Ovis aries: one gene and its partner. The protein of the gene in region 1 interacts with the protein of each later gene in a biochemical or structural test. Links are inferred from orthologs where the notes say so. Each region holds a gene or a part of one and is shown on either strand. Other genes may lie near its edges.

Evidence for each region. The genes of interacting proteins can lie anywhere in the genome.
Region 2: the proteins of NUP85 (region 1) and NUP43 form a complex in vitro, tested with the Homo sapiens proteins (2 studies listed by BioGRID). The link is inferred for Ovis aries from reciprocal best matches to the Homo sapiens genes NUP85 and NUP43.

The regions. Positions count from the first base shown.
Region 1 is NC_056064.1:55,594,466-55,599,104, forward strand, and holds part of NUP85 (nuclear pore complex protein Nup85), read right to left. Parts: intron 3,943-4,639; coding exon 3,873-3,942; intron 2,718-3,872; coding exon 2,596-2,717; intron 4-2,595; coding exon 1-3. UniProt on the Homo sapiens protein: Essential component of the nuclear pore complex (NPC) that seems to be required for NPC assembly and maintenance. As part of the NPC Nup107-160 subcomplex plays a role in RNA export and in tethering NUP96/Nup98 and NUP153 to the nucleus.
Region 2 is NC_056061.1:74,007,722-74,012,875, forward strand, and holds the start of NUP43 (nucleoporin Nup43), read right to left. Parts: upstream 3,535-5,154; 5' UTR 3,153-3,534; exon of another isoform or gene 2,509-3,152; intron 2,082-2,508; 5' UTR 2,074-2,081; coding exon 1,885-2,073; intron 1,846-1,884; exon of another isoform or gene 1,796-1,845; coding exon of another isoform or gene 1,763-1,795; coding exon 1,676-1,762; intron 1,372-1,675; coding exon 1,249-1,371; intron 442-1,248; coding exon 364-441; intron 1-363. Other genes in the region: PCMT1 (protein-L-isoaspartate(D-aspartate) O-methyltransferase), read left to right, coding at 3,558-3,786. UniProt on the Homo sapiens protein: Component of the Nup107-160 subcomplex of the nuclear pore complex (NPC). The Nup107-160 subcomplex is required for the assembly of a functional NPC.

The DNA of each region.
Region 1 (4,639 bases):
CACCTGGGAGGACACCAAGAACACAGCATCCAGGCGGAGGCTCAGCAGCCAGTCCCCTCAGCCTGCTTTGGCTTCCTCATCCTGGAGAAGTGTGATGGTTTCTCCGTCAGAGGTAATTTAATTCATCCAACCTTCTAGTTTCAACCCGTACCATGCTTTTCAAACTGCGTGTTGTTGTATCGCACTGCAGGTGACTGACTTTTTAAAAATGAAACAGAAAATAAAAATTACCAAAGTGCATCAAATAAAGCACTGATCTGTAAAAGTTTCAGTTAAAAGAAAAAGTTCTAGTTCAAATACTGGGTTAGCCAAATTTGGTTCAGGTTTTTGCATGCTATTTTATGGCCTGGGTTCAATTCCTGGTTGGGGAACTAAGATCCTGCTAGCCACGGCAAAAGAAAAGGAAGAAGAAGCAAGCCAAGGAAACACATGCTGCCCAGTCCCAGTCCCTTTCCCTGATTCCAAACACGCACATCCTGTTGCCAATGGCTCCACTTGGTTCACAGGCACCTTAACATGCCTCGAAATGAACACCGGGTCGCTTCCAACCCACCAACCCACATTCTTCTCTTTCTTACACATCCAATTCATTAGCGAATCCTATCACTGTACCTTTAAACTGCATCCAGAATCAAATCACTTCTTACCACCTCCTCCACTCAGCTCCTACCCGGGTCCAAGTTACCACCACAGCTGCCTGATTTAGGACCTGAGCCTCCAGGCTGGTCTCTCCGTTCTGCTTTTGCTCTATTCTCAGCAGTGCAGCCAGAAAAGCCTTTGAAAACCTAAATCAGGGACTTCCCTGCTGGTCCAGTGGCTAAGACTCAGTGCTCCCAATGCAGGAAGCCTGGGTTCCATCCCTGGTCAGGGAACTAGATCCCACACGCCGCAATTAAGAGATCACATGCTGCAACTAAAGAGCCTGCATGCCACAACTAAGACCCAGCACAGCCAAATAAGTATTTTTTAAAAGAAAAGGAACTCTAAGTCAGATCACAGTGTTCCTGTGTTTGACTCTCTAATGTCCTCTGTACCCCAGCTGACTCAGGAGTAGAACGGGAGCTCTACTGTGTCCATCAGCCAGGTCATACCTTTATCTCCTTCAGCTAACCGAATCAGAACAGCTCTGTGGGACAGGTGTCACACTCTCCAGGCCACACACGAAGAAACTAAAGGCAGTCAAGTGACTCACTAGAGCTCACAGATGGTAAGAGGCAGAGCTGGGATGCTAACCTGGCCAGCTTGGCACCACAGACCCTGTTCTTAGCATTCAACTACCCTGCCTCTCTGGGGCTTTCCTGGTGGCTCAGTGGTAAAGAATCCTCCTGCCAATGAGAAGATGCAGGTTTGATCCCGGGGTAGGGAGGATCCCCTGGAGAAGGAAACAGCAACCCATTCCAGAATCCTCGCCTGGAAAATCCCATGGACAAAGGAACCTGGTGGGCTATAGCCCACAGGGTCCCAAGAGTCAGACAGGACCAAGTGACTAAGCATCACCACCACACTGCCTCTCTAGGAGCTGAGCCCTCACTCCTCGTCACCTCCTCAGGTTCCTACTCACACGTCACCTCACAAGGGTGCCCTTCCTCGACTTTAATACTCCCAATTCCCCTCTCTTGCTCTTTCTCTCCAGAGCGCTTCGCTTTTACACATATTTTACTTGCTTCTATATTTATTTCCGGTCTCCCCACCCAGAATGCAAGTTCCGTAAGGGTAGGAACCACTGCCTGCTTTGGTCCTGGTTGTTTCCTCAGGGCCTGCACACAGCACCACTCAAATACACAGTGAATGAATCACACACTTAAACCCTAGGCCCAACCATTTCTGAACAAAGGCTCTCCCCTTTACCTGCACAGATCTCGGAGCACCCGAAGGCCTCAGAAACAGCATTAAAGGCAGCAGCTCTTTACCTGAATTTCAGATGATATAAGTCTCCAACATTCAAGTCAACCAGCAACCTCCGCCCTGGTCGCTCCATACTGGGTCATAGGTCAGTATAGGTGAATGGAAAAGTACTGCTCTCCCAGACATAGAATACACACACACACACAAACTTTCAAACTGACCATCCAAAATGACTGGGATCATCAATGTCTTTGTTTTTAATAGCTTTACTGATTGCAATGTACACCTTATAAACATTTACCTGTTTAAGTGTCTAATTCGGTGAATTTGAGTAAGTTTATGGAGTTGGGCACTATCATCACAACTCAGCTTCAGAACACATCTAACACCTCAAAACCGCCCTCAGCTCACTGACATCAAACCCCTACCCCAGCACCTATCCATCGGCTTTGCACTGTCTTCACCAAGTCTCATTCTTAGATCCACAAACAGATCAAAATTCCCTTCTCACTGTGAAGTCTACAAAGCATTATTTTTCTTACATGATAACTTAGTTCAAAACTCTCCCATGGAGCAGGGAAGAAAACACCTCCCTAAGCACGCCTCCCTAAGCACATCTCCATGATCACAGACTCAAAGAACAACACGCACACGGGTTCAGCAGGGAAACCCGCAGGCCAGCCCAGGGGCCCAGGCCAAAGAGAATACGAGGAGGAAGGCAGGGAGGCCCAGCACGCACAAGGGTCTTACCAAGTTCCAGAAGCTCTCGTGTTTGCTTGGATTCTCACTGCCCAGAACATCTGCTGACAAATTGTCCACCTCGCACACATGCAGTCGGACCCAGTCAAGGAGGTACAGGAGGAGAGGGCCAGCTGGGAGGAAACACATAAGCAGTAGATTCCACTTTCTCAAAGTACAGAGAATGTAGGGCAGGCGAGCGAACTATGGTGGAAGTGGTCTGTCCCTCTTCAGTGAGCGGGCGTGTGCTCCTGACAACAGGGCTGAGCTAGCGAATGGACTTCTGTGGGCACCTCCTCTGTGCCACGCAGCTCAACCTTTCACTGAATCGTTGGGGGCGCTGAACATGAGACCCAGATCTCACCAGCCCGACCACCCCCAGCTTCTTCACAACTACGCAATACTCGGTGACATCAGCAGTGGCCATATGGGGATGGCACTGACTAGGTGCCAGGTACACAAACGTGATAGAAAGACAGCAACAGTCCTCAGAATCTACTGGAAGAGGCAAGCAGACAACCAACCAATTCAATTTCAGGCTGCTCAGTGCTTGAGCAGGAGTTATGAATAAAAAGCTGTGACCACAGAGAGACTACTAATACACACTTATGGACAACAGTAAATACAAACCATTAGAAGAAAGCAAAAAGGCCTACAGCCCCTCCACAGAGAGCCCACTGTACTGCCCACAGGATACTGTACTGACCACAATCAAATTCAAGATCAAGGGAATAATTCAGAGTGGACGCATGAAGCTGTAGGGTTGCCCCTGACCCAATCACCAGCAAAGGAATTCTCTAAGGGATTCTGCCTTCCACCACCTAATCTTGCCTCACATCCGTACAACATTTTTCATTCTTAAAATTTTAAACAACAGAAATGTACTGTCTTGTGTTTCAGGAGGCTAAAAGTCTCTGGAGCTGGGAGGGCTGGTTCCCTCGGAGGCTGAAGAACCTGCACACACCTCTCCCGAGCTTCTAAAACTTTCTAAAGCTTCACCAGTCCATGGTATAAATATGGACCACCCCTTTCGCACACTAGTTTAATATCTGTTTCTTCATATTTTTTAGGGGTCACCTGCCTACAACTAAGGTTTTCAGAAGATACTCTGACTCTTTGCAGTATCTTGACAAAAACACAGGCTTCTTCAGGCATCCTGTAACACCTCCCAATGCTTATATTGATGAAAAGCAACGAAAAGAGCATTCTAGGCAACAAAACACTCAGCACAGCACAGGACAGGGTAGGGGGACACCTCTGCCGCTGTGACAAGATCATTCTGTGCTCACCTGGGGCTACTTCGATAAAAAGAATCTCACAAAGGTTCCAAATGAGTTCCATTGCCGACAGAATGGAGACCTAAGGAAGGAACAAGTTTTGACTGAAAACGTCCCAAAGATTTTTTTCCCCTAGAGCTAAGAAACAAAGCAGAGCTTGAAACACATGATGGTCATTCATTAACTCAACATTTATAGACTGTTCCTATGGTAGGGGTCCCCACAAGACAGTCAGAGAATTTTAGGGGGTGGGACACAGAATAATAGTTTCTGTTTTAATGGTTGTGGTTTTACTTTAATGTGCGTTAGGAAAATGTAGGTAGCTCTTTACACCCAATCTTGATGAATATTATACTTTAGGAAGCAGCTCTTAGTAAAAAGGGAGATTTGATTTTTAGAAAAATATTTAGCAAATAATATAATAATATACAGGTACAGCAAAAATTAATGATGTTGATATTCAAGGGACTGATGTTTAGGAAACAGTCTATTAAAAAAGTAAACCCAATGTAAGACTCCAAAATAAATCAGCTGTGGACCCTGACCTTAGGAATATGCAGTACCCCTATCATCCTCCTTATACAATCACAGAATTTTATACCTTAATCATAAGGAAAAATAAATGGTCTGATGACTTCAGAGATGGTGCACCAGTCCCTACTGACTACTGAGTTTGAATAATATAAAAATTCTAACCAAAGAATGAGAATTCTTTAAGTCACCTTCCAACTAAAATGTAACAATCAGCCATTTAAAAATACTGGTGCATTGAGTATTGT
Region 2 (5,154 bases), on another chromosome or scaffold:
AAGTAGAGTAGCTGTTCCTGCTCCCTCTCATGATGTCTGAGCTAGAAAGTGCTCTTTCTCTCTTCAGAAAACCAGAGGAGGATCTTAACAGAAAGTTACAGGAAAATCACTTGCCAGAATACCATACTGTTACATGGAACCTAAGAAAATTGAAGAGTTACCCAATTTCAATGAAAGTTCACACAGAAATGGTTCTAGAATTAGTCAACTAAAAGATGGGTAATGCAATGACATTTTCCCCTCCTTTTTATAGTTTTTGAGACAATAAAACTTTATAATTTGTCATTATTAAGTATAGCCTTCTTTAAGCCTTCCTAAAAATAATTAAAATGCAAACTGAGTTTTCAAACAAAAATTCTTTACCTGGTTATTTGGATGGTGGAGGAAAATTGTCACACATCCTGTCGATGAAGCAGCTACAATTCTTTCCTGGTCCAAAAACTAAACAGAAAATTCCTGCATGTTATAAATTCATAAATATCAGCAGGGAAGAAGCCCATTTATCTAACTCAATTAGCAGTGTAACAATTTTAAAATGCAAAGAACCTACAAATGCTAAGCAAATAAAATGCCAAAGTCAAAACTGCTATACAAATAAAAGTATTTTCATGAAGAATAAACAACAATAATTTCCCCCCTCAAACCTGTTCATCTACAATTGATTTAATTTTGTACAACTACCATAAACGTTTAGGAGAGTATAATTCCCAGGGTCAGGCAGCTTTCCACAGAAGAAAATGCAGGGACTCTGAAGTCTTACAGATCAGAATTTGAAAACTTAATTCCATTCCCACCAGTTATTACCCGATTTGAAACCTGGGCCAAGTTAAGTTCTCCAAGCTTTGGTAAACTTATAAAACGAGAATTCAAAAAGCAAAAACATGTAAAGTGTCTTGCACAGTATTTGTCATATAATCCATGCTCAAAAGATCTTAGTTTTCTCATAAGAGAGATAACAATACTTGATTCACCAGCATTCCATGAGAATGAAATTAACTTATGTAAACACAGCTTGGCACATAGTAGATGGTCAATTAAACAAACAAGCTATGATTAACTTCACATCCCCTTCCCCAGTGCTGACTCTGCCATAACCAGCTATATGACATGACAAATCATAACCTACAGAGAACTCAAGTTCTTGTAAACCCAGGGTAAGACTAGACAAACTATAAGGTCCTTTACATCTCTCAATGTATTACTCTCAATTTTTTAAAAGTTAGCTCTTGGATATTACAACAGACGTACTTGTAAATCCATTACATCACCATGATGTTTGATACTGCACAATAATTGATGGTCTCCTTCAAATCCTCCATCAGAATCCAAGTTTCCAAAATCTCCAATAGACCACAGTGAAACATAATTTTCCTGAAAAGCAGAAAATTCCATTTTGAGATGAAATATACATCAAACTCCTCGAAATTGAAATGTGCACTGCCTTCAATCAACCCTGCTTTAAAAGTATCCAGGGCAAACGGCATAATCATTAAAAACACAAGAAACGAGGCCACTGATGCCTCTCAGATATAAGGCGACCGAGCGTGAGACGTGCATTCGGGAGACAGACAACCGCGCGAGGAGCTACGAAACAGGAGTTCGCGCGCTGGCTGCCGGGGGCGCGGTTTCTGGAAGGAAGGAGATAGCAGGGACTCCCGGTCGGGCGCAGGGGTACCTCATTGTCCCAAGAGCCCGTGGCGAAAGTCTCCGCTGTCTGCAGGCTCCCTGGAGGTAATGGTCGCCAACGAGTCTTGCTGATTTTCTGTGATACAAACTTAGCATAAATTTCCTCCATGCTGAGAGGAACCCAGGTAGGCACAGCACGAAGTACAGCGCGCGCCACTCAGCCCCGCCCCTTCTCGCTGAGCCCTGATTGGACCGGACCTGATGAGGGACGGTGGCTGCAGAGAGCCAATTCTCCTCCGTCCGCAGTGCAGGAACGAACAACCCTGCCCCAAACGCGAAGAAGATGCGACGGCCTTCCTGACTAAGGCGGCTCTGAACCAGTGCAAGAGCATGCCCGTCCTTGTGCACCAGGGCAAGGGCATGCCCGTCCTTGTGCTGTAGGACCATCTTCTAATCTGCAAAATCGGTATAGGAACACCGAGACAATACATTGGCGCAAAAGAATTTGCAATGTAAAGACAAATTTAAGAGCAAAACCAAAATAAAAGCAATGCAAGAGAAACGAGCTAGTAGCTACACCTAAGCAGGCTTGCATTTCACCGCGCATAGAAAAGATTAAAAATCCTTAAATTCTCGTGGAAGTACGTCCATTAACGTACCAATGTATTATTAAAAACTTCTCCCTCCCTGTCCCCCCAAGCAAGTACTTTTCTTCAATGATAACACACACGGTCAGAAACTGGAGTTGTAATTCTGAAGACCCCCAGTTCCAATTTTGAGTCCCAAACTGGCTAATTTATTCCCAATATTGAAGTAAAGAATGCTGCTTCGGTTATTATCGCAGAATCCCACGAAATAGTTAATATATAACTATATTCATACATACTTACATAGACACCACATTTGCCAAGGTCTGGTTAGAACTAAAATTTGAGCATTGTTGCTGACGCAGTAGCATCAATGTCTTTACATAGCTTTGTTTCCTTCCTTAAAAGTTTATTGGGACTAAATGACTGGATCCTTCCAGTCTCCGTTCTGATTAGGAGTCAGCAAGTTGGATTCTACTGGCAATGTTCCTTGTCAGTTTCTCACTCGGTGTCTTGCATAGCTGATAGCAGCAAAGCCGGGGTCCAGTCTAATGGTGGAATTTGTGAGGCTTAAATAGCTAAAAACGCCCACTTGTGTTAGGAGAAAAACAGTCGCCACAGGCTACTGTAGTGTTTTTAAGCAAGTGCATTTTCCTAAGGAGCAAAGCATTCTCGGTGCTCCACCCTCCAACCCTTGTCTGTCTTCTTCCACTCTCTGAATTTGTGCTTTAGAGCTGAGAACAAATCAGGGTCCCAAAGTCTCTGCTAACCAGCCACTAAATGTACTTGTTAGCTAGAGCCTGGAGTACTCGGGTTAGAGAGGACGTTTGCCCTCCGTTTAAGATACTCGGTGTTCACCATAGGGAGCTCTGACTCTAACCGACCTAAATATGTTAGTCATTCATTGGGTTGGGTGAAGGCAGGACGGAGGAAGCCCACCGTTTAACAATCTGGACAGCTATAGGAGCAGACCCGCCACTCGCAACAGCTGACCCAGCGACGACTGCAGAGCCACCGGCAGCCTCGGAACCAGACCCGCCCTGCCATCCTGCCACCGCTCTCGGTGACCAGAGCCGCAGCGAGGCACGCGGCCGACCGCGCTGCGGCCCACCCCGCCTGACCGCAGGGCAAACCCAAGCAAGGAGGCGCTGCGCAGCCCGAGGTCTCAGAAAGGCCACGCAGTGGCGGCGGTGGCGCTGACTCAGCGAGGCCAAGCCGCCAATCTCGGGCAGCCGCAGCGGCCCCTCGCCCGGGCTGCGGGTCGCGAAGCCACCCCCGCCTCCGGCCCCACCCGGCCGCGCCCGAGGCCGCGCGGCGTCACAGAGCGCATGCGTGCCGCGGGGGATGCCGGGAGCGCGCAGTGGCGGCAGCAGCGACGACGGCAGTAACAGCGGCGGCTCCAGCGGGGACGAGAACGGGGCGGTGACCGTGTGGGAGGTGGTCTCACTCTTGGGGAAGCTACTGGGCACCGTCGCCGCGCTGAAGGTGGTTCTGTACCTGCTCCGGGTGTGCTTAGCGATGGCCTGGAAATCCGGCGGCGCCAGCCACTCGGAGCTGATCCACAACCTCCGCAGTAAGTGCCACCCCCGCCGGGTGTGGGGCAACCGAGGAAGGCCAGGCCTGGTCCGGGTCCCCTGGGGCCGCCCGGGACGTTCTGTCTACTCCCCGTGCGTGCTGGAGGGCTTCGGCGCACGGTTGCACCCGCGGTCCCGACCAGCGAGCGCTGGCGATTGCCTCCCCCGGGACCTGTCACTCATCGGCGATGTGGACTGGAATCAGAGAAGGAGCCCGGGGCCGCTGCTCGTGGGGCGGGGGCAGGCATCTCCCCGCAGGCCTGGGGGACGGGGCTGGGGGCTGGGGGCGCACAGGTAGTGGGGCTGTCACTCGAGTTCGTCGCCTCCCAGTTCAGGTCCAGCGGGCGAGGGGCGCGCCCTGGGGTGGAGCGGGAGGAGTGGGATATTGGCTAGACCTCCGAGAGACTGGAGCTGGAGCTGGGAGGACCCCGCCCTCGACCCCCGCGTCCTCCCACCTACTCTTCCCGTCTTAAATCAATCTAGCTGCAAGCTTTCTCGCCTATTCTGCCTCCCCCCACCCCCCGCCCTCCGTTTTTTCCCCTGGCGGGAGATGCCACTGTCTGATACCGGCGAGGGGAGGGAGAGGAAGATGAGAGTTGCTGTCACTGCGGATGCTGGGAGAAATTTCTGGGACGGCTGTCCAGTGGAAAGCTTCGTAGGGAGCTGAGGGAGAAAGGAGGAAGGATGCTCTCCTTGAGAGACTGTGTTTCAGGAGCCTTCAGAGGTCCTGGAGATCCAGCGAAAGATTGTGTTCTGCGGCCCGTTTTCACTTTTATCAGGGCCATCGTATGCTTTAAAAGCTGTGTATGGAAGTTTTCTTTACACCGTTCTCTTTAGTTATTGTATTCCTTCCTCTGATGATAATTTTAGGGTGGGATGAGTGCTGTGTCACTTTCTTTTTTTAAATTGAACTATAGTGTCGCCGTCTGGTCGGGAGACCGGAACCGCAGTCTATAGTACTCTCTCTCTGGTCAGAATTTATAGCATTCTTCTTTGCCACTGACTTTGCAAATAATCGCAGCCCTACCACGTGGTATTTTTAATTGTTATAGGTTGTTTAGCTTTTCGCGTCTCATGTTTCCAAATTCGATTTGTAACCTCCTTGAGGGCCAGTACCTTTTTTTTTTTAGTCTTTGAATCCCCTCATCTTAATAATCATTACTTGTTTGAAAAATAAATGCCAGTTAAGTATATATTATATGCTTAGATCTAGGCTAGGAATACTAAGATTAGTGAGAGAATAAGTAACATTGGCTGGCACATGGTTAGTGCTTAATGTTAGTCTTTTTTTTTTTTAAACACAATGTTCCAAAGTTGGAGATTGTGTCCTTCAGTTCAGTTCAGTTCAGTCGCTCAGTCGTGTCCGA